2 linked regions of the Saccharomyces cerevisiae S288C genome follow. Changing the gene in region 2 together with the main gene of any one other region gives a genetic interaction. Each region holds a gene or a part of one and is shown on either strand. Other genes may lie near its edges.

What was found. A genetic interaction does not mean that the proteins touch.
Region 1: mutations in ENB1 (region 2) and PDE1 together harm fitness more than expected from each alone (negative genetic interaction), as found in Saccharomyces cerevisiae (2 studies listed by BioGRID).

What each region holds. Positions count from the first base shown.
Region 1 is NC_001139.9:31,632-37,262, reverse strand, and holds PDE1 (3',5'-cyclic-nucleotide phosphodiesterase PDE1), read right to left. Parts: upstream 1,611-5,631; coding exon 501-1,610; downstream 1-500. Other genes in the region: BRR6 (Brr6p), read right to left, coding at 1-330; ZIP2 (Zip2p), read right to left, coding at 2,051-4,165; RMR1 (Rmr1p), read right to left, coding at 4,628-5,353; HFM1 (DNA helicase), read left to right, coding at 5,627-5,631. UniProt on the Saccharomyces cerevisiae protein: Controls the level of cAMP in yeast cells, together with the high-affinity cAMP phosphodiesterase (PDE2).
Region 2 is NC_001147.6:18,403-25,788, reverse strand, and holds ENB1 (Enb1p), read left to right. Parts: upstream 1-4,477; coding exon 4,478-6,298; downstream 6,299-7,386. Other genes in the region: hexose transporter HXT11, read right to left, coding at 1-516; oligo-1,6-glucosidase IMA2, read left to right, coding at 1,495-3,264.

The sequences.
Region 1 (5,631 bases), on a different chromosome or scaffold from region 2:
CCTCATATGAGGTTCGCACTGGTTTTCAAAATACCTTGATTTGCAAGTTGCAATTTTATCTAATTCTTCCCTCACGTTATGCTCCAGTTTTAAGTTAACATCGTTTCTTATCATCAAAATGAATTTAATAGCAAGAGACAGTCCTATAGTTCCTATAATAAAATTGAAAAAAAGCTGTATATACTCCGCAATTAAACTTGGGCTCAACCAAATGCTTTGTCGGGCTAATCTAGCATCTTGCGGATGTTCACCTTCCAATACTTCCTCCCTTCCCAATCTTGGGTTAGCAAGTATGCCATCAGGCTGTCTAGAAAAACTACGGAGTTCCATTCCGGGACTTATGTTGGGATAGGGGATTCAAAGATGAGTCTACATAAGTTAACTCATCAATAATAATGGAAAGAAGTTTCATTAGTTACTACTAGTATTTTGCTTGCTCCCGGGTAATGAATTTTTCCGCTTTTCATCTACGTAGTATTATGTTATTGACGTTGTGTACATTATAGAAACAAAGTGTGGCCTTCTAGCGCAATAGATATTCTCAAGTCTCCTAAGTTCCTCTCCTCAGCTAAAAATCGTAACTCTTCGAGTATGGTTAGTCTTGGGTCTCTTTTAGCAGGTGTTGACTTAACGTGAGTAACGATAACATTCAAACCGCTTAATCCCTTACTACTGTTGTATAAAGTGTTCAAATTGGATAATTCGTTGATTAAATATATTGGAGATAGATGACCATACAATTGCTCGGGCTTGGAAGATAATGGGCATGAACATTCGACTAATATACCCTTGAGATGCACAAGCGGTATATTTTCAGCAACGTAAGACCAAAATTCTTCAAGTAGAGATTCTTCAGATTCTCTGCGGTCCTGCTCAACATCTCCGCAAACTATTATACAGTCTTTGCTTTTCCTGTCTCTGAAGATATAGAAGGTGCTGTATACCGGCGCGCCAGTCTTGACGCCTATCCCATGATGAACTTTGAACGGTATTACATCCCAAGGAAAGATAGTGCACTTTTGAACTTCCTTCGGATTCAAGCATTTTAGCTTCAATTTTCTTGAACGTTCTGCCGTTAAATCTGGCCATATTAAGTCATTAAAGACATGCTTTTGCAAAACGTCAATAGTATGCGGTAATCCCCAAATAGTTTTCTTTTTACTGTTTTCCTGCTCATATATTGAGGGGGAGTTTACTACCAGCCCACTAATATGGTCCAGATGGGGATGGGTAATGTAGTAGTCGGTAATTCCTTGGAAAACCTCGTAAGTTTTCTTCATTGTATTGGCGCTTTCAAAATGCTCTCCCTGCCTCTTTAATGATTGTAGCAAGGACTTGGATAATCCCTTTTGTATGTTCAGTTTGGAATCAATAAAAAACTCTATTGGCTCTCGATCATGTTCATAAAAGCTTGGAACAAGCTCATCATCACCTTCATTTTCATTTCGCCCTTGGACCAACATCTCCCGTAGCTGGTACATTCCTGCACCACCGTCTACAGCTATTAATTCTGGATCCTCTGTTCTAGCAGGCTTAAGTATAAAACACTGTGTTCCGTATTCGGTGGGTCCTCCATTGGCCCCAAGTATAGTTATTTCGAATACAACCATAAAAAGGAATATTGGTAAAAAAGGGGATGAAGAAGAAGAACCTCGTTAAAAGCCACTTTCTCTTGGAAATTTCTAAAAATATAAATTTCAGATATTGCTTCCCTCGAAAATGGAAAGGGTTTGACTATTGGTAATTTTTAGTTTCAAGTCACGCACCCTCACCAAAAAGTGCATCTTAATCAGTAACTCATTTTCCGTGCGGTATTTTTTTCGGGTTGTTTATTGTGACAGATGTAATATTATACATACGTTAACATATGATCTACAGATACTCCGATGATCCAAGGGTATAAAAAATAAGGTAAGGGTTAATTAGGTGGCTAGTTCATGTTAATAAATACATTTTCCTTGGTTGAATTTACTAACTGTAGCATGTAGTCGAAGAACGAAAGAGGCAGGCGTAGTATAAATAGTTTACCGGGTAACGATCCTTGCTGGATTTACCATTCTAAGGTTAATAACTTCTTCAGGCGAGTCATTTGTGAAACCGTAAGCATTTTAACAGCTTTGCTTTCTTCCTTTATTATTGCCATAAAAAATTCTTCGAGACTATATGTCTGGAAAATTTTCCGTACTAAGAGGATGTTAAATCCCAAATCTAGAAGAATATCGGCATTTGCAATATTTTTTTCTTTCTCATCGTTATATGAAAAGGCCCATCTTGCAATGAAATATTTCATCCAATCAATAAAAAAGTCAGTAGTCTCATGAATGAAAAAAACATCAACACGTGAATTCAATAAATAAAGTTTGATTTTCCAGAAAAGATCAGGATCAACGTCTTGTATTATTTCAGAAAACTCCACAATTATAATGACTCTCTGAAATTCAGTTAAAAGATCGTTTACCGCTTTATCGTAATGCAATGAGCCGTTATTTCTGAGTTGCATAAATCGGCTCGCCTGAATTTTATATACACATGTTGAATGGTTTATAATGAAATCGCATTCGCCAAAGTAAGATTGTTCGATAAGGTCTAGATGGGAATTTTTACATAATGACTGAATTACCTTTTGGTTCTCAATCACCTTGTTTTCATTTACGGCTATGCATTTATTCTCAATATCTTCTTCCAATATTGAATGCTTTACTGAGTAGTTATTAAATGAGCAATCTTCCTTTCCATTGTAAACTGAATTAGAGGTAGGAATTTCAATATGAGAATTTGCATATGTCCCAGAATTTATCAAGTATGAAGTGGAAGATATACCGGTGTCACTAACATCCTTGTCCTTCTTTATTTTTTTTTTGGTGACTAACATGGACATTAGTTCATTATCGATGAAAGATCTCTTTTGAGGAGCTAATGATGTATTAATATCCGCCTTAGATGAAAGACAATCATTTTCATCAAATTCTTGGGTTTCAATAGCAGTTTCATCGTGTCTTTCACTTTCTTCAATTGACTGATTTTCAGTTTTTTTTACATCTGGCATACTCATTGCAAGCTTTATACTACCAAACGTCTTTTTTTGATTATCGATCAGGTCAAGGGAGCCGGAATCTAATTTTTGAAAAGTTAACCTTAATGGTTTGATCGAATAGGCCTCCCTATTTATGGTAACATGCTCAAATATTGCATACCTAGAATGATTGCAAATTCTTTTCAGAGGATCCCATACCAAATCCTTTAGGTCTTCTTTTTCTAGACACCATATTTTATAGTTCTTTTTCTCAATTGGCTTATTCTTTTTCAATTTTTTCATTCTTATTTTAAAAAATTCTAGTTTATTAAATTGAGCATCAAAGAGTTCATCATAACGTTTTTCAAACGTATTAAGCTGTTGATCATGTTCTGGGACTTTCACAACCCAGCTTTGCGAACTGGTCTTGAAATTGTACTTACTGCACCTACTCTTATATTTGAAAGATTTCTCAGGTGAGATCCGTTGTAAACGGTATCTATTGTAGGTTTGCTCAAAAATTTGGGGCTTCCATTCTGACAAAGGTTTATCAGAAAATCCAACGCAGAAGTTCAACTTTTCCTCCGTTAGTGTGCTGCATTGCACTTCCAGTACAGAGGACATTTGTCTTAAACTCGGATATGGTACCTTTTTCCTGTATTGACTTCTTCTGAGAAGTGGGATGTTGAACCACTCTAACCTCGTGTTATCGTCTGCCAAACCGTGTTCCGTCATTTTTTGGTGAAGAGGAGCATTTAATTGAACTGAAAGACTTTTCATCCAGCTAAAAAATAACATGTCCTGTTTCCCGACTTTTAACTTTTCCTTGAATAACTCATACTGTAGTTCTTCTTTGTTGTCATTCTCAATGTTAGTCACATTCCATGTTTTGCCAACGGCTACATCTATTTTTTGTCTTCCAGAGGTGATGTGAATTACCTCCAAAAAATACTCTTCACCATTGATCGTGCCGCAGTTTTCATACCCTCCGATTTTCAGTGGTTTAAGTTGCAAATTTCTTAGCTCTTTCAAATATTTTTGTGCTCGTCTTCCCAGTTTGATGTTTTCTTTTAAGTTTCCTGACAGAACAGAATAGCCGCCCACATTTTGGTTACATTTAGATAACTTTACTTCCCAACGTTCAATAATCATAGTATTTTTGTAATATGATCTATTTCTCTAAATTGATTCAATTACTCGAGCTCGTTAACAATGGTGTGGCACTATTGAGTGATTTTCTTCTCCTGAAACATATTTTATGCTTGTATTTTACATATCCTAACAGAAAATACTTTCAGCAATTCTTCCGAAAGTAAAACTTGAAAAAAATTGAAGAAAATGACGAAAAAACAATACAAAACAATAATACAATTCGCTACAAAAAAGGGGGAAGGGCTATCAGAAATCGAATATGGACCTTTGCATCATCCAAAATTAATGAATACTTAACTGCTGACTATACAAACGAAAAAGAAGGCGACCTTAAATATTACACAGAGCCAATAATTTATTCGCGGGAGAAGATTCTCAAAAGGAATCCGTGACTGGGAAATCAGAAACTCACCGTTGGACATCAGGATTTCCCACGATCAGTGCTGATTAAACATGGCTACTTTAGTCTTCAGAATCCTCACCTACGTCATCATCTATGTCCATTACAATGACTTCTGAAGTATTCTGGTGTGTATATTGGTCATTGTCATCCACAATTAAGGGATGCGTTTCATCGTTAGAAAATGGCTTTATGTTTTTCAACGTAGCTGAGCTTTCAGTTAATTCAACCAAGGCGTTGTACCGAGAGACAAATCTTGGCCTTGTACTTAATTCAATAGCCAAGTGCGTCGGTATATCAGTTTCAAAATTAGACTCCGATCTTTCCTTCAGGATTTTAAATATAGTATAAACATCGCTGAATGAAATATGGTTGTTGTAGACATTATCTTCGAACAAGGTCAAATCGAGGCTTTTCAGTTGTAAAACCAACTCCTTCGTAGCAAAAGCCAACCTGCCAAAACGATTTCCCATAAATTTACGAATGGATTCCATGAATTCCCCCATGGGTCGCTGATAAAGAGCAGCGTTTTCACATATTATGGGGTTGTTACTTTCGTTCTTATCATCCGACGTGAACAACAGAAATGTAGTATCTTTATATTCCACGGTGACTTTGGGCAATTCGCTTTTCATTAAAGTCTCTGCCACGTTGCGTATACGGGCGTCCGATGGTTGTTCCTCCACGAGTTCATCATCATACTCCAAAAGGTCTTCTTCATCGCCCTCATCCAATTGAACCCCGACGTCATCCACCTCCACTGTTTTATGCGCTTCTTCTTCACTCATCTTTGATTCCATTGATACCAACAAAAACAATCTTTAACTACGTATCTTTTCCTTTACGTATATATAATTAATCATATATACTTCCCTTTTTTATGCCTTGTTGTAGTTTTAACATATCATGTACCACGAATGGATGCAGGCTCGGCGGGTATTTAGACTTTGCCCCGGATTATAAACAAAACGGGACTATTAGTATCATCTATCAAGAAATCCTTTCATTGAAAATGATTGATACCTCAAGGTGGATTTGACAACTTAAGAGGCGTCGTAAGGATGAA
Region 2 (7,386 bases):
AATAATTCTTCCAATGAAGTATTGGTACCACTTGTTTATGGAAGTTATTTGGATTAGGATGCCTACAACGTAAATGGCAGTAACTGTAATCAATCCAATACGACGACCATATATATCACCGACTTTTGACAAGACAATTCCGCCTATGGCGCAGCCAATGTTGAATATTGAGACGATCAAACCCATTCTTACTTTCGATAAGTAGTAGGTTCCCTTGTCATTTTTTTGACCGAACCTTCTGATGAAATCAGAAAGGTTAACAAAACCAGAAATGGTACCGGTATCCCAACCAAAGATGAAGCCGCCAAATGCAATCATCAAACACAGGATTGCGACGGTGGTATACGCAGAGAGGGGTTTTTGAGGTAAGTCAATAGGTGGCTCATTGGCATCTAGGTTAAGGGAATTTTTAGAGTCACCGTGTTCAGTCTTAACAGAGGGAGCGCCTACTGCTGAGTTAGAGTTAGACATGGTAGTAGATAACTCATTTGCGGATGTATTATTAACACCTGACATGATATTGAGTAATAACAAAAGCGTTTAGAACTAAATTGTGCAATGATTATTTTTTTCAACTCATACCAAAAAAAGAAGAAGAAAAAGATAGGAACAAGTGTGCTCTTCTCTAGTTACACAACTGTGACATTATATACCTTTAATTAGCGAAAAAGAGGAACTGAGAAAGATGAGCCTAGACCTTAAGAGCTAAGTAGTATACGGTGTGTCGAACTGCTACTGATACTTTGAACGAAGGTGTCCGAGTGTATGCATTGTTCGTGTGGTCAGCATTTATTGTGGAGGAGGCGGTTTCATCTACAATTTCCGACGCCTGATTTTCCACGGATATAATTTATTTTTTGACACCTGGAGTTTACATTTCACAAAATTTCTTTCTTTTTTAGTTTTGCACTGATTTCCCCTGAAATAAAGAAAAAAAAGAAAAAGAAGGTTTTGTGAAGTGCCAAGGGATGCACGAGAAAAGCACTTATAACTCGCACGGAGAAATGATTATGTAATTTTCGCGGAGAAATGATTATGTAATTCCGCGGAGAAATGGTTATGTAATTTTTGTGGGGAACTGAACAAGGTCAGTTTACGCTTCGTACTTTGTCGTGGGACTACGTATACGCAAGATTGCGGAGGCAGTGCAATAATGGGGTCTGCTTGCAGATGGTATGATCTGCTATAACGGGCCAAGGGCCAGGCACGCTCTTGCAGAACATACCATGTTATATCATGTAGGTTGTGCAAACATTACCTAAAACTGAAAGCTTCGTTTACATACAGCACTCCTTCCAGATCCTAAATTTACTTTGTTCTTTTCTTATTTTCGATCATTCGTAAGACGTCCATAGGCACGTAAAAGACATATATAAGTAAGAAAGACTTCTTCACTCGAGGAATTAGCTGTACTAGAATATATGTTCCATTCACCAGTCCAAACACACAAACAAAAGTGAAAGTTTTTTCATAAAGAAAAGAAAGCAACGTACAATGACTATTTCTTCTGCACATCCAGAAACAGAACCCAAGTGGTGGAAAGAGGCCACAATCTATCAAATTTATCCCGCAAGTTTCAAAGACTCCAACAACGATGGGTGGGGTGATATGAAGGGTATTGCCTCCAAGTTGGAGTATATCAAAGAGCTTGGTGCCGATGCCATTTGGATCTCACCATTCTACGACTCGCCACAAGATGATATGGGTTACGATATTGCCAACTACGAAAAGGTCTGGCCAACCTACGGTACGAACGAGGACTGCTTTGCCTTGATCGAAAAGACACATAAGCTTGGTATGAAATTTATCACCGACTTAGTCATCAACCATTGCTCGAGCGAACATGAATGGTTCAAAGAGAGCAGATCCTCAAAAACCAATCCAAAACGTGACTGGTTCTTCTGGAGACCTCCTAAGGGTTATGACGCCGAAGGCAAGCCAATTCCTCCAAACAATTGGAGGTCTTACTTCGGTGGTTCTGCATGGACGTTCGATGAAAAGACACAAGAGTTTTACTTGCGTTTGTTTTGCTCCACCCAACCTGATTTGAATTGGGAGAATGAGGACTGTAGAAAGGCAATCTACGAAAGTGCCGTTGGATACTGGTTAGACCATGGTGTAGACGGCTTTAGAATTGATGTGGGAAGCTTGTACTCCAAGGTTGCTGGTCTACCAGACGCTCCTGTGATTGACGAAAACTCAAAGTGGCAACCCAGTGATCCTTTCACAATGAACGGACCACGTATCCATGAGTTTCATCAAGAAATGAACAAGTTCATCAGAAACAGAGTGAAGGATGGCAGAGAAATTATGACAGTTGGTGAAATGCAACATGCTACTGATGAAACCAAGAGGTTGTATACAAGTGCATCAAGACACGAACTTAGTGAGTTATTCAACTTTTCCCACACTGATGTCGGGACTTCGCCCAAGTTCCGTCAAAATTTGATCCCATATGAACTAAAGGATTGGAAGGTTGCCCTTGCTGAACTTTTCAGATACGTTAACGGAACTGATTGTTGGTCAACAATTTATCTGGAAAATCACGACCAACCTCGTTCAATTACCAGATTTGGTGACGATTCTCCTAAGAACCGTGTTATTTCTGGTAAGTTGTTGTCTGTGTTGTTGGTGTCACTGAGCGGTACTCTATATGTGTACCAAGGACAGGAACTGGGTGAAATCAATTTCAAGAACTGGCCTATCGAAAAATACGAGGATGTCGAAGTTAGAAATAACTATGATGCGATCAAGGAAGAGCATGGAGAAAACTCGAAGGAGATGAAGAGGTTTTTGGAAGCAATTGCCCTTATTTCCAGAGACCATGCTAGAACACCTATGCAATGGTCTCGTGAGGAGCCAAATGCTGGTTTTTCTGGTCCTAATGCTAAACCATGGTTTTACTTGAACGAGTCTTTCAGGGAAGGAATTAACGCTGAAGACGAATCCAAGGATCCCAACTCGGTTTTGAACTTCTGGAAGGAGGCCTTGAGATTTAGAAAGGCACACAAGGATATTACTGTATATGGATATGATTTTGAGTTTATTGATTTGGACAATAAGAAACTGTTCAGCTTCACAAAGAAATACGACAACAAAACATTGTTTGCTGCTTTGAACTTCAGCTCTGATTCGATTGACTTCACGATTCCAAACAATAGCTCGTCGTTTAAGTTGGAATTCGGAAACTACCCAAGAAGCGAAGTTGATGCGTCTTCCAGAACATTGAAGCCATGGGAGGGCAGAATTTACATATCTGAATGATTGATGATTGTGACGACAAGATTTTTATACATATACATATACTTATTTTTATCTATGTTACATACCGCACTTTAAATAGTAACGACATATATCTGGTAGTGCGGTATGAGTTATGTAATACACTAAAGTATAGTTTTGTGTAGCATTTTCCATATGTCCTTGCATTGGTATTGTATTATAATAATGCTGAGAGAAGGGTTACTCTATAGCTCATTTGGCCAGATAATACGGCGAGTTATGTGCATATAAGAACAAGTACTAGTGAAATTATATATTATTGTTTATGATCAACAGAATCATCTCTACTACACACTGCATTATGAACTGCAGCCACATTTATCTAAGGGCGGAACGTACCTATGAAATGTCTCTACTACTTTTATGAAGATACTGATTTTTAGTTTGTCACAAATTTTACGATTCTGAAAACACATATACTTTCTTTTATGTTGATAGAGCAATAACACAATGGCCATTTAAAATCTAGCCAGCAAAATATATTCACCGGTTCGTACAATCTCATTTACTATTCCCTCTGAACGTCTTGACTTTGCTCCGCCAGCAAATTTTCCAATCCAACATGCAAGTCACGAAATGACGAATGAAGGCTGTATCAATCGTTCCTAACTGAGGATGGCTGAATAAAAATGAAGGGAAATTCTACGACAGTTTTAATTAGTTAATGAAGGGGTGTGAAAAAGTTAGAAAAAAAAAAAGTCAAATTCAGGAGAATAGACAAGCCTACATTTTCTGTAGTTCAAAACTTTTTATGGTTTGACTTTGTTTTTTTTTTTTTTCGTTTTTCTTTTTTAGTTGAACTAATGGGACCCTCAAACCTAAAATTTTCCGTTTTCGTTTAATCCTCGCATCATATATACCAAATAAGGACACAGGGTTTTCAGTGAGCAAATGTAAGGGTTTCTATGGATTATAAGCCCTTCGGATCAGAAACAGGGTTCCGTAGTTTGGGCAAGAATTGCCCTTAGTCCTGAGTCAACTGCAAAAATCTGTTTAAATTATTGCACCCAAATGTGATACAAATGTATACTATTATAGAGGCTGCCACGGCTTACAATTGCACCCCTCTGTGGCTTTTGAGTGGCGAAGGGTCTATGTTTGGATAATAGAGATGACTTATTTAATTGAAATGATGGTTTGGGTCCTAGCAGAACTCTAATATAGCAAAAAAGTGCTCGTGAATGTCTCTCTGAAAATGCTGGAAACTGATCACTCTAGGAATGACAATTTAGACGATAAAAGCACTGTCTGCTACAGCGAAAAGACAGATAGCAATGTTGAGAAGTCTACCACGTCTGGCTTGCGCCGTATAGACGCTGTCAACAAGGTCTTGTCTGACTACAGCTCTTTCACAGCTTTTGGAGTTACGTTTAGTTCACTCAAGACCGCCCTACTGGTGGCTCTGTTTTTGCAGGGTTACTGTACTGGACTCGGAGGGCAGATTTCGCAATCAATACAAACCTATGCCGCTAACAGTTTTGGAAAGCATTCTCAAGTAGGATCGATCAATACCGTCAAATCAATAGTAGCCTCTGTTGTCGCAGTGCCATACGCACGTATATCTGATCGGTTTGGACGTATAGAATGCTGGATTTTTGCGCTTGTGCTCTATACTATTGGAGAAATTATTTCTGCTGCTACTCCAACGTTTTCCGGACTTTTTGCAGGTATTGTTATACAACAGTTCGGTTATTCTGGATTTCGTCTTCTTGCTACAGCACTGACTGGTGATCTGTCTGGATTGAGAGATCGTACATTTGCGATGAACATATTTCTGATTCCCGTGATTATAAACACATGGGTAAGTGGAAATATTGTTAGCTCAGTTGCTGGTAATGTTGCACCATATAAATGGCGTTGGGGCTATGGAATTTTTTGCATCATTGTGCCCATCTCCACCCTAATATTGGTCCTTCCCTATGTGTATGCTCAGTACATTTCCTGGCGCAGCGGTAAGTTACCACCATTAAAATTGAAAGAAAAAGGACAGACCCTGCGTCAAACGCTCTGGAAATTTGCGGATGACATAAACTTAATTGGAGTCATTCTTTTCACTGCTTTCTTAGTTTTAGTATTATTACCTCTCACAATAGCTGGTGGAGCCACCTCCAAATGGAGAGAGGGTCACATTATTGCAATGATTGTGGTTGGTGGCTGCTTAGGTTTTATCTTTCTAATTTGGGAATTAAAATTTGCTAAGAATCCATTTATCCCACGAGTATATCTAGGTGATCCAACCATCTACGTTGCATTGCTAATGGAATTTGTATGGCGTCTAGGTTTGCAGATTGAGTTAGAGTATTTGGTCACCGTGTTAATGGTAGCATTCGGAGAATCAACATTAAGTGCGCAGCGGATAGCTCAGCTTTACAATTTTCTACAGTCATGCACTAATATTGTTGTCGGCATTATGCTGCATTTCTATCCTCATCCGAAAGTCTTTGTAGTCGCTGGGTCGCTTCTTGGTGTCATCGGAATGGGTCTTTTGTACAAATACAGGGTGGTATATGACGGGATTTCGGGTCTTATTGGCGCTGAGATTGTGGTCGGTATAGCTGGTGGTATGATACGTTTTCCTATGTGGACGCTAGTGCACGCTTCAACCACCCACAATGAGATGGCAACTGTCACTGGGTTACTAATGTCCGTTTATCAAATCGGAGACGCAGTAGGTGCTTCCATCGCTGGTGCTATATGGACTCAGCGTCTGGCAAAGGAGTTGATACAGCGACTCGGCTCTAGTTTAGGGATGGCAATCTACAAATCACCACTCAATTATCTAAAAAAATACCCTATTGGATCAGAGGTTCGTGTTCAGATGATAGAATCCTATTCGAAGATTCAACGCTTATTGATAATTGTGTCCATTTCGTTTGCGGCTTTCAATGCTGTTCTCTGTTTTTTCTTGCGTGGCTTTACTGTAAACAAGAAGCAAAGTCTTTCCGCAGAAGAACGAGAGAAAGAGAAGCTCAAAATCAAACAACAATCATGGCTCCGTCGTGTAATTGGATATTGAGCTGGAGAGTACTAGCGATACAAATATAGTGTTAAGCTCTTTCCTGAACTAGAATTCTCTTTGAAATAATCACTGTTAATGTAAGTAGTAATCAATAATGGCGTGTAACAGTATAATATTGTTGTCTGAAATAAAAAACAACAAAAAGTTCGAATTAGTTTTATTTTATTTTTCTTTTCTAACTAAGTGAATATCCATACGTTTGTTACGTTTATTTCAGCAATATTATAGTCTTAAATGGGCTTGACAATACAAAAATCAATGAGATTATTCGCACCTGTCATTTCCCGTAGTTTTTATAAAGAAATATAAAAAAAAATGTTGCGAAGAACTTTTACTAGAGCGTAAACGAATTAAAAAAAATTAGTAGTGTAAATATAATCACCACCTGCCGTAAGCCTGCTTGAGCCCTTTATTATTTAGTTTTAGCTGTTGCTAACCTGACTTTCATACTTCTTATAATTGACGTCATAAAAAATATTCAAAGTTCGAAAGAATGAAGAAAACATTGACCGACTTAAAAGAAGCAGTAACCCCACGAAATTTTAACCAGTGCTGATTGTGCGAGAAATCGACTCCAACAGTCTCAGATCAGAGAATATATGAAATATTAGTGGCCCCATACTTATAATGGTTCGCTGATTAATGTATAACAAGCGTGAAAGTATGTATAGCTGCACGGATTGTAGATAGAGCTCATTTAATATTAGGTATTTTGCCCATGTCATTTTTGTGCAAGTCATTTTCTCCTTTGGAACTAAATTTTCTTTAAAATATCTCATATACAAAAAATCCTAACTCACAAGTTAATGTTTTCCATCATAAGTAGACGTTTATTTAAAACATGTTATTATATATTGATCCACTCTTTGCAGTGTCGTTTTCCTACAAAAATTAGATACTTAATCTTGAGGAGTGTAGAAATAAGTGAAGGCGACATAAAGATAGAGAAACAGCCATGAAATTTAGTGAAAGCTGACACTCAAGAATTAGGAATGTAATAAGATAATGAATCACAACATATAAAATGGAAAGTGAAGTAATAATACTATTCTATAGAATAATCGACGATCCTTCATGAATTGCTA